Linked DNA regions of Lytechinus pictus. The protein of the gene in region 1 purifies or fractionates together with the protein of each later gene. This does not show direct contact. Links are inferred from orthologs where the notes say so. Each region holds a gene or a part of one and is shown in the gene's direction. Other genes may lie near its edges.

Region 1 (3,758 bases):
TTTTTGTATTTTTGATGTTGTTTGTTGTTGTTCATAGTTATCTTGACATTTATTTTAAACTGCAGGGCGCCTTTGTAAAGCAGTTTTAAGAACTGAACAGGCCTACCCTGCAGTATAAAATAAATAAAACAAAATAAATAAATAAATAAATAAATAAATAAATTCCAGGGGGAAAACAAAGGTGCCAGCGTCTCGAAAATATGGATGGTTTTAAACCGTTTGCCATAACAAAAGTTGTGAACATGGACACTTTCAAATGAACAGCGAGACGTTAATAGTGTATTAATTGTAATAATATTTACATCGAATTAATGGAATTGGATACAATTTTCACACTATTATCAATCTGGTGTGAGATTATTAATAGTTATAAAGATATACCCGGATTTCTGCAATATTACGTTTATGAAAACCACTGTTCCCTGTGTTGAAGCTGTGTGTGGGGACTTTCGGACACTCAAATGCACGCGACTAACCATTATGTATAATTATCATTATCATTATTATTATTATGATTATTATGATCATTGTTGTTATCATTCTTATTACTGTTATCATTGTATTATTAATATTATCATAATTATCAAGTATTAACATTATCATTAAAATAATTATGATCAAGATCAAAGCAAGATATATTCCTCTGATATATAGTCAACTGGTCTAAAGTAATTCATTGTTTGAAATTGAACTGGTCAAGACCAGCAATACCAGTAATTCTGATGAAACTGATCACGTGGATTACCTCATTTGCATATTTCCTATTTTTTAAAGAAAAATCAGGATTTAGAATAAAATATCCTTGCATGCAATGGCACTCATTATTGTTTAAAAACTTTCTAAATAAGTGTGTGAACTAATTCACAATGAAAATGTGTAATTTCATATATCACATTTAAAATAACAGCAGAAATATTAATTTACTAACCATCTTTTCCATCACATTTCACTGACCATGGTATATAACAAACCAAATGCATGTAATAAATTGAACCAGTAAGACCAGTACGAGGACCAGTACGACCAGTTCGAGGACCAGTCACACCAGTAGAAAATACCAGTAAAGACCAGCTTGAATTGGATACCAGTATGAAGACCAGTGAGACCAGTAACAAGACCAGTATACTGGACCAGTTAGACCAGAAAATCGATGTTCCAATTTCCAGAGTTATCAGTTAAAATTCTACTGGTCTAACTGGTCCAGTGGAACTGGTTTTTCCTTCTGGGAAGCGTCGCGTATATCAATTGTATTTTTTTGTATATTAGTTTAGTTAGTTTAGTTTATGTTTTAAACTCACATTGATCCATCCAGCGTCGGATCTAGTTTGGTTTGATTATTGATTAAGGCATAGGCCTATGTGGGAATCAATTTTGTTTTTATATTACCGGTAACTATATATTATGTAGGGCCTTTTACAAAATGTTCGAGACGGTTCTACCGAGCCTAAATTTCAACGCACGTCGCCCTCTGGTGTTGAAAATTTTACAGTTCCTCGTGCTAAAAAAGAGATCGAAAATTCACTCGAAACACACCCTAATTCTTCAAAATGGTATGCATATTCACTGTTTATATATCATTATCGTTAAATATGAATTTAGTGCTTATCCATTAGATGGATTTTATTTTATGCATGATTGTCATACAATGTTTTTAATTACATGAAGTGTCCGCCGGTTATAATTGCTTGGCAACCGCAAATTACCCTGATCCCGCCTATTGATTTTTGTGTATTTTCCCCAAAATGATGATTTCGTTATGGATGAGGCTGAGCCTGAGCGCTCCCAATCTTAACTTTTCTAATTATACTTTGATAGTAAATAAGGATAACTATTAGATCTATCTCAATTACGAAAATTAAGTGGTGAATTCAGTATTTTTTGTTGTCCTAAAATCTTTTGGCAATCCCGGATTCCCGGTGCTGCTTTCTTCATTCTTGATTTGGTCAGAGACAGAGAATGAAAATGATGCAGATTTAGAGAAACGCCTGGAGGCTGGACAGTCCAGTGAACACAAAGAAAGTGTCATGAGTGTGTGTGCTGTTGTTGTTTCAACTGCAAGGCAAGCAATCATGCATGTACTATGTAAAGGGAGGGGAGAGCGCTGAAAAGGGGGAAGGAAAGAGAGGACAAGAAAAGGGAGAGAAAAATAGTAAAAAGACATGAAGAGTAAGAGACAAAAGGGGGAAAAAAGAGAGGGTAGAGGAAAAAGAGGGAAGGGGAGAAAGGAGAAAAAAGGGGAGAGAGGAAAAAAAGTAATTAAAAAGCCGGGAAGTGGGGGGGGGGGGCAAATTCATGTTTGAGTTCGACCTTTGGGGTGCCAAATTGACCTGAAATGAAGCGGCATCAAATTTACCTTAAACTCGGGGGGGGGGGGGCAGGATACCAAATTGATGTTTGACCTTCAGATGTAACATGGAATAATAAAGATAAAATGGAATAATTTGTGCGAGGTTAGTATTAGTATACTATTGCTAACCTCGCACCATGAACCGCGTTTGGCAGTGGATTTCTTACTAGTGGGTCACGCATGCTGCGACCCCACTTCTAGCGTCCACAACACGTGACTTCTATGGCTTGATTTTTTTGTGCGTGGCGATTAGCCTAAATAATCCAGGCGGGGGTCAAAGGGTCCGCCCCCAGCTCCCCACTGTATTGGCAGCGCAAAAAAGAGAAAAAAGACGAAAATAGGGAGGGAGGAGGGAAAAAAGAGAAAAAAGGAGGGATATTGATAAAAGTGAATGAAATAAGGGGAGGGGGAAATTGAAAAATGGAAAAACTGCTGTATTCACTCATTCCATTAATATAACTATGCATCTGGTGTTCTTCAAAATAAATGGTTTATTGCCAAGCCAGGCTTTGTAGTGATACTTTTTCTTTTTTCCCCTGCTAAACCAGCTTAATATCAGCATCAATTTTCTTTTACATGTAAACCTTGCTTTAGGTTCTTTCATAAATTCAAGTTAAATGGCATTAATAATATATATATATATATATATATATATATATATATTTTTTTTTTTTTTTTTTATTAATGTATTTTCGTACCCAATGTATTTACATTGAGCATTGTCAACATGGAAATTTTTTTTATCAGTAGAGAGACAACATGATTTAAGAAATTTTTGCATGTTTAATTTCCACTTCTTATTGTTTGTCATAGGTATCCCTTCAACCTGTTCAGATTCTAAAGCATAATGCGGAGGAGGAGAAAGCAGAGCTTGCTCGTATGTCATCTTTCATTGGCGCCATCGCCATTGGAGACTTGATCAAGAGCACACTAGGTCCCAAAGGAATGGTAAGCCTGCGCGCGACACTGGCACTGGTCCGACGGTCCCAGACCAGTAAAAATTGCTGTCGGGCCAGTAACTTTTCAGAATTACCCAGATTTACTGGTCTGACGTGACCAGTAAAAAATATTTCAAGCTTATACAAATTATATTTTCTCCTCTTGTAAATTATAAAAATGGCTCTCATGAATTGTGCTGTGTGTACTGTTTGTTTGTATTTTTTTTTTGGGGGGGGGGGCAATAAAAGCAATAAATGACAGCAAAATAAACTTATTCTTGTTTATGGTGTTCTTTAGTTTGGGGGACCAGTATATTTAGGTTCGGACCAGTAAAATAAGGAGAAATTGGGTATCTACTGGTCCGACATGAACAGGTTGGACCAGTAGAAAAAAAGGGTTAGTGTGGAGCCCTGGCCGTAAGCTGTTCTGCTTGGAAAAAGGAATTTCTTTCTAAAGATGATCACCTTGTATT
Region 2 (3,758 bases), on another chromosome or scaffold:
CCAGTGCCCCCCCCCCCCCCCCCAGGAAAAAAAATCCTAGCTACGCAACTGGTCGAAGGTGGTGAACATCTAGTTAGTTCGGGCAATTAAACAATAATTATTGACGAAACCAGGAGGCAAATTCACAAGGCCCTGGGAACAATTTTGGGGTGGGGTTGCTGATGTACATTTTGACAAGCAAGCGAGAATAAAAAAAAAAACAATTCCCCAAAAGGGGGGGGGGGGTTCACAAACATGTTTCTTCGGTCTCGAAAATATTGACAAGCACCCCAAAGTAGAATAAAAATGGGTTTCACTACAAAATATAGGTCAGTTTGATAACATGTTTCCATTTTTTAACACCTACAATAATTTATGGGAGTGCTGCCTATAATCAGCTAGACGCAGCACCCCCAAGGAAAATCTTCAGCACCCCCGCATCCCATGCAGGGCCATGAAAATCACAAGGTAATAGTTGGGTCACGGTATTAACTGACATTGATTGCTTGTCATATCGAAAAGTTTAATTTTCTCTTCTTTTTATTCCGGATGGGGGCGGGGGTCCTCTCGCTCGCTTTGCACCTCTCACACGGCAGCATTTACTTCTTTTTTAAAATTAATTTCTTGAATGTGTGTACACCCGGGCGTTTGAAAGCCTCAGTTATGCATACATTTACGTAGGAATTGTGACTTTATTCGTACGACTGCATGGTGACCTTATCTTTGCCTTGAAGATGAGGGATATGATATGCAAGGCAGACCAAGCTTGCATGAAAAAGAAAAATACCCTGAGCTAGAACTCAACTGCTGGAATACAAATTAGACGCTTTGTCGATCTTTGATCAATTTTTTGTGAGAACTAAAAGGGGGTCAGATCTCATACACTTTGTTGATTTTGCTAAAAAAAAATAATATACTCCTTTTCCTATTTTTGACAATGTTTCTCTTTCTTTTCTCAGGTACTCCTGTTTGCATGCTAGCAATTTTTTTTAATTTTTTTTTTTGGGGGGCACGTGACCCCATATCCCAGTGTAGTTATTCACCTGGATCATGACTATCACTGACCTGTCAAGCATATACAAGGAGGATATTAATTCTTAAAAAATGTGACAAAACAAAATTTTAAAGGATTGCACTTATATTTTTTTTGCACTGAACGTGCAAGTAAAACAAAAACAAAATCGTGATCGATAGCGCTGCTGCATAGTATCGATATCTAGCTGAGGCGGAAATACTATCTCTCGAACCCGAGAAACGAGAGTTCTTATTTATTCTATTTGCGAAGCATCTGAGTCTCTCCCAGTTATCTAAAGTATATAGAAATCATGCAGGTAATGAAACGAAGTTTTGAGTGAGTGAATGATATTTATGATTATATATTTGTGTTGATTTTTAAGGGAATGTTGGGAAATTGAATAGAGGAAGCCTGAATACAATACACAAAAATGCACATTCGGGACTGAGCTGTGAGTACGTTTAAACATTGCACTCGTGATAAATCAATGGAAATGAGAAGTGGGCGGAGCTCCAGCAGAGCTTATCAATAGTCATTGCCGTGCGTGGATTTCCTTATTTGGTTATTAAAACATCTTCTTGTGTCTGGCAAAGGCTAAAACGTTTAAGATCTACATGTGTAATCATGATTGTTTTGTTGTTTTTGTTAATTTTCACTGAATTGGTTGTTCATTTGTACTAACTTTAGCCTTTTTAATGATAGGGAAGTTAGGGTGTCTGGAGAAAAGAAATATTTTTCTTATTTCAAGAAAATATCACATTTTTTTGTGAATTTGAAGAGAATTAACCATCAGACTGACAGAAATATAACATTTTTTGTTTAAATCCAATTATTTGCTGCAAAAAAGAAGAATGAAATTAGGTCAATTTTCAGCATTTCCTTGCCATAGACTGTGTAGTTAATAAATGGACACACACAAATCCAAATTTTTAGCTTCCGAGAGCTGTTATAAAAACTTATAAATTCATTATTAATGCCAAAAACTTGTCCATAAAGTGCCTAATATGAATTTTTATGCTCTTTCTGATGGTATGATTTTTATAAAGATTTGAAAACCAGATCACTATGAAAAATTGCGACAAAGTGAACAAATTTGTGCAAAACAAAAATTTCATTTTCCCATAGAAAACGCATGGGGAAATGGCAATCTCAACACACACACAAATAAGGGTTTGCAATTTATCTCTAAATCCTCATTTCAAATAATCCTATAAACTTGTCCTTACTGTTAAAAGAAGCCCCTGAATTTTCTCTTTCCATACATGCCAAATACAAGTTAAAGGACAAGTCCACCCTAACAAAAAGTTGATTTGAAAAAAGGAGAAAAATCCAACTAGCAAAACACTGAAAATTTCATCAAAATCGGATGTAAAATAAGAAAGTTATGACATTTTAAAGTTTCGCTTAATTTCACAAAACAGTTATATGCACATCCTATTCAGTATGCAAATTGGCAGACTGATGACGTCACCCACTCACTATTTATTTTCTATTTCATTATATGAAACATAAAATATTCTAATTTTCTCCTCCTTGTCAAGTGAAACAAAGTTTTATTTCTCCCTGAACATGTGGAATTACCATTATCTTAACAGTTCCTTATTGTCAAATTTGTAAAAATTGAAATATTTTATTATTCAAACAATAAAAAACAAAAGAAATAGTGAGTGATGGACATCATCGACTCTCTCATTTGCATATCGCTGAGTTGTACATTTAACTGTTTTGTGAAAAATAAGCGAAACTTAAAAATGTCATAACTTTCTTATTTTACATCCGATTTCGATGAAATTTGCAGCGTTATGTTTGTTTGATTTTTCTCTATCGATTCAAATCAACAATTTTCTGGGGTGGACTTGACCTTTAATAATTAATTCAGATCACATTTTTATAGCAGCCTGAATTTCCAGAAAAAATTTGCCATATTTTCCCCTAAATCAGCCTGTTTTAAGCTGACACTTTTCAGTGTGGCTTCAGACACCCTAATGATAGGCAAGAGTACCGTACTTGGGTCAAACCAAAAACTTTTGTAATTAGACCTACCACTACAGACACTGATTGAGTCAGCTAAGGTTAGTAGGCCTAGAACTTTGTAGAAGGAAACTTTATATTTTCTGAACATACACTATACATGTAGGTATACATGCACTAAATGATAATTGTTGAAGTATTAGTAATACTCTCAAACTTGTCAAAGAATTTTCTTACCATGACACAGGTACATGTAAATTAGATGGCCTTATTACAAAACAACATCTAAACTCAATCACAATTATTGGAAATACTCCTGTAAAATTGCAAAAAAACTGACCACAATGCACAACCATATCGTCCATCTGCCACGTCGACATCTGGTTTCAAGAATTAAAAGACTTTGTAATATATAACACTTACTTTGCTTGGAAGACGATTGACAGATGAATAGAATTTGTAATAGTATGAAGGTGGGCACCATGTCTGCGCACCTAATTATGTAATTTTTAATTTAACATGAATTTGTTTTAATTCCACAATACTTTTTCCATTGATAAAGTTCCTTATATGCTTATGAGGAAGTGTGCCAAAAATCTCATAAAAATTGGAAATAGATAATGGCCAGTCATTTTCAGATTAAAAAAGAAATGGTGCCCCATGTCTGCACACCCATTCACTTTACACACGATTCAGGGATTTTGATGAAGAAGGCAGCGTGTTGAGGCCGTCAGATGAAATGCCTAAAATTAAGTATTTTCCACCATTTTGAGTCAGATTTTTTAATGAATAT
Region 3 (3,758 bases), on another chromosome or scaffold:
TTTTTAAAATGATATTTGTTATGATTTATAGGGAATTAATGCACCAATTTGAAAGAAAATATGGATAAGTGATGAGTACATTAAGATGACCAATGAAGGGCAAACCACAAGTGTATTGCACTTTGCGAAAGTGAACATTTAATTTTTTTCATTAATAAAGGTACAGTGAATTATTAACTTGACCTCAAAAAATTATTTTAAAAAAGTAATGAAAACAAGAATGCAAAATTGTTGGAATTCGGCATGAAACAGACATGACCTGTTCTCTCCATCATTGTGCATCTCCCATTATCAGACTTGAAATAAATAGTCAAGTACTGTTGTTGCCCTTCTGAATATGCTCAAGGTTGTTTATGAGCATGGTTTGATCAAGTAAATTTATTTATGAAGACTGGAGCTTTTAATTGCTAATAAAATGAAATTACAAAGAATTCATTTCATTACTGAAAATCACATGTGGACGTTGAGATGTGTAGCCCCGAGATATACGGAATGAAACCATTAAGGTTTTCTTTGTAAAATGATGATAAACGTTTTTTTTTTATTCCATACATCATCAAAATATAGTGCAACAGAAATTGTGTAAATCGATAGATATACTGAAAGATATGATTTGACAAATTCTATGCATAAATTAGAGATTGTATTTATCAAAATATTGAAAAGGGTCTGAGAACCATGAGTACGAGTCCAGTGGCAGAATCTTTATTGATTCAATTATTTTACTATTTCAAAATGAATGGTTTTGTGGTGTTTTACAATTATCATTGAATGAGCCGTCTCACTTGTTCTGCAATGTAATTTCAACTTCTATGATTAATTACTGTATGTAAGATTACAATTTTCAAATTTTGAGGCACGAGTCTACCCACTTGATGCCACTACGTCATTACAAAAGAAGTTATGACTGGTTCGGAGGTGTCATAAATATTTAGTCAGGTTCTTGTCCCCGATCTTGGCAAAAAGGGCTTCATGAAATGGTTATAGAGGACAAGTAGCTCACCATCTCCGATTTAGTCAAGAAGTTAGACTTATGATGAAACAGGCCCTTGAATAATAAATGGAAACTAGTAAAAGTGAAATTTTCTTCGGCTTTTCTTCATTTATTTTGCTGAGATAACATATTTCATTTTTTTTATGTAAGTTTTTAAAGGTTGACCATGGGGGAGGGGAAGGAAAGGGAATCCACTTCTTTAAACACATTTTGTACAAAAAGCATTAAAAAAAGTGGGATTTGGTGTTGCACCCACCGGTTCCACCACTGATGTGCACACCCCCCCCCCCCCCCCCGCCTTCTGCCCTCTTTGGGTCTGCACAAAGGTAAAGTTACACGTCGTTGAAGTCTTGCTTGGTAAATATGTTTTCCCTTTTTAATTTGTCTTGCTTTTACCCATATATATAATACACGAGCGCCGCCGTATCGATATCGCGAAGAACTTCCTCAATCTCGACACTGTCTTAGCTTAGCCTTAGCGCTTAGAAACGGGACGCCGATTGCAAATTCCATCTATTCGGATACTATTAACAGTATATTTTGATTCCGACGTAATTCTCACTTGTGTGAAATTCAGTATGGACAAACCACAGATCATAATTCATGCTACAAAATCCTTGAACATAACGCTATACGACGTGAAATGGATCCCCAGAAGTGCCCGGTTCGTTGTGCTTGGTTGCCACCCGAGACAGACGGGGGCTTTGCAAGTGTTCGAGATGGATCAAGGAGAACCTAAATTAATACACGAGGTAGTATCAGATTCGTTGTTCCGGCGGGGAGGTGGCACTGCCGTGGTATTGATTTTACAAGATGGACACCAGTCACACCACACTTGTCCATGTCAATGCATTTACTGACCTGGGCCGTATTCTGAAAATTGCCTAGGCCCTAGTTAAAGGTCAATCAAGTCCACCCTAGGGCCTAGCCAGGCGGCTTCTAGAGAGTAAAAATCATTTACTAACGTAAGGTCAATCTCATGAAGCCAGGCCTTCTATCCCATAGACCCACACAATGGAAGCCAAAACCTGAAACTTTCACCCCCGAAATTTCTACTTTCTTTCTAAAAGATCTAGCCCTAAATCATGTACATGGGATAAAACTTCATTTCCGACATTTCTACGCTCTCGTTATTTTTCAACAAGAATACATCAAAAAAATGAGAGAAATATTGTGTAAAGACGGAAGAGACTCGTCCAATGTTTACGCCGCCATCTTGTTTCCTATTGTTCTTCGCCAACGTTACAGACGTGTGCGTCGGGTAACGTTGGGGAAGAACAATAGAAAACAAGATGGCGGCGTAAACATTGGGCGAGTCTCTTCCGTCTTTACACAATATTTCTCTCATTTTTTTGATGTATTCTTGTTCAAAAATAACAACGAGAGCGTAGAAATGTCGGAAATGAAGTTTTATTCCATGTACATGATTTAGGGCTAGATCTTTTAGAAAGAAAGTAGAAATTTCGGGGGCGAAAGTTTCAGGTTTTTTGGTGGTACACGCAAAAGTATATGACGGAAGCCCTGGCTTCATATGAGAGTGACCTTACGTTAGAAAATGATTTTTACTCTCTAGAAGCCGCCTGGCTAGTCCACCCCAGGAAACATGTCATGGGAAAATGTAACCCAGGGAGCTCCGGCCCGCACAGCGGGCCGGAGCCCAGGGGCTTACCGTGTATTTGACCATACTCACGGGACTAGCGTGATTTATGGTCTAAATATTTCTCCAAATGAATTGTGAAAACAGAAATTATGCACTTACCACGATTATATGGATGAAGGTCTAACGAGTGGCAGTTTCCTGACATCGAGGCACAGACTGGAACTTCAAAAAAACGAAAAGTTCTCTCCTTCTACCCCCGTCTCGATTGGCCATTTGTGTTATGAATCGTAACAAAATGGCCGATCGAGACTGGGGTAGAAGGAGAGAACTTTTCGTTTTTTTGAAGTTCCAGTCTGAGCCTCGTCAGGAAACTGCCACTCGTTAGACCTTCATCCATATAATCGTGGTAAGTGCATAATTTCTGTTTTCACAATTCATTTGGAAAAATATTTAGACCATAAATCACGCTAGTCCCGTGAGTATGGTCAAATACACGGTAAGCTCCTGGGCTGCGGGCGGGAGTTCCTGGGTTAGGGAAAATGCTGACTTGAATATAGACAGCTGGCATCCGTCTGTTTCGAGGAGTTTTTTAACTTTTTTTTATTTTTTAAATTTCTCCTCGTAGTCCTACACAGACGGCTTGCTATCCTGCAGCCACCATTAGGGGACTTACAATGCAAAATCCCCCTGTCGGGGCTCTTCAATTTTTGTCTTTAATGAATCAAAATCTTGAAAATTAATGCGACCGAAATGTAAATTAATATTTCCTCTTGGTATTAATTGCCAAAAACAGGGAAAAAATCAAGTTAAAAGGAACAGAAACAGTGACTTACCTCGGCTGTCGCGCAAAATCACTTCCCTGTTTTATCCAAACTTAATACATACACGCATGGCCATTCAGTCCCCTGTACAGATCGCGCAAAAACTTTGGTCTCTGTATTTGGTGAGTGAAGCCAACAGAGTTCAGCTGAACAACCAACATAACATAACAGAGACCGAAGCTTTTGGTCTAACTTGAATAAAGAGAAAAATCAAACTAGCATAGTGCTGAAAATTTCATCAAAATCGGATGTAAAATAAGATAGTTTAGTTATGACATTTTATTAAAGTTTCGCTTATTTTTCACAAAACAGTGATATGCACAACTAGGTGAGTCAGTCGATG

What was found.
Region 2: the proteins of T-complex protein 1 subunit beta-like (region 1) and viral IAP-associated factor homolog purify together in Homo sapiens (co-immunoprecipitation; 3 studies listed by BioGRID and IntAct, with this or other methods). This does not show direct contact. The link is inferred for Lytechinus pictus from reciprocal best matches to the Homo sapiens genes CCT2 and PDCL3.
Region 3: the proteins of T-complex protein 1 subunit beta-like (region 1) and dynein axonemal assembly factor 10-like purify together in Homo sapiens (affinity purification with mass spectrometry; 3 studies listed by BioGRID and IntAct, with this or other methods). This does not show direct contact. The link is inferred for Lytechinus pictus from reciprocal best matches to the Homo sapiens genes CCT2 and DNAAF10.

What each region holds. Positions count from the first base shown.
Region 1 is NC_087263.1:2,305,220-2,308,977, forward strand, and holds the start of T-complex protein 1 subunit beta-like, read left to right. Parts: upstream 1-1,460; 5' UTR 1,461-1,547; coding exon 1,548-1,550; intron 1,551-3,160; coding exon 3,161-3,295; intron 3,296-3,758. UniProt on the Homo sapiens protein: Component of the chaperonin-containing T-complex (TRiC), a molecular chaperone complex that assists the folding of actin, tubulin and other proteins upon ATP hydrolysis.
Region 2 is NC_087245.1:32,495,577-32,499,334, forward strand, and holds the start of viral IAP-associated factor homolog, read left to right. Parts: upstream 1-1,153; 5' UTR 1,154-1,304; coding exon 1,305-1,310; intron 1,311-3,758. UniProt on the Homo sapiens protein: Acts as a chaperone for the angiogenic VEGF receptor KDR/VEGFR2, increasing its abundance by inhibiting its ubiquitination and degradation.
Region 3 is NC_087251.1:10,516,314-10,520,071, forward strand, and holds the start of dynein axonemal assembly factor 10-like, read left to right. Parts: upstream 1-1,394; 5' UTR 1,395-1,572; coding exon 1,573-1,746; intron 1,747-3,758. UniProt on the Homo sapiens protein: Key assembly factor specifically required for the stability of axonemal dynein heavy chains in cytoplasm.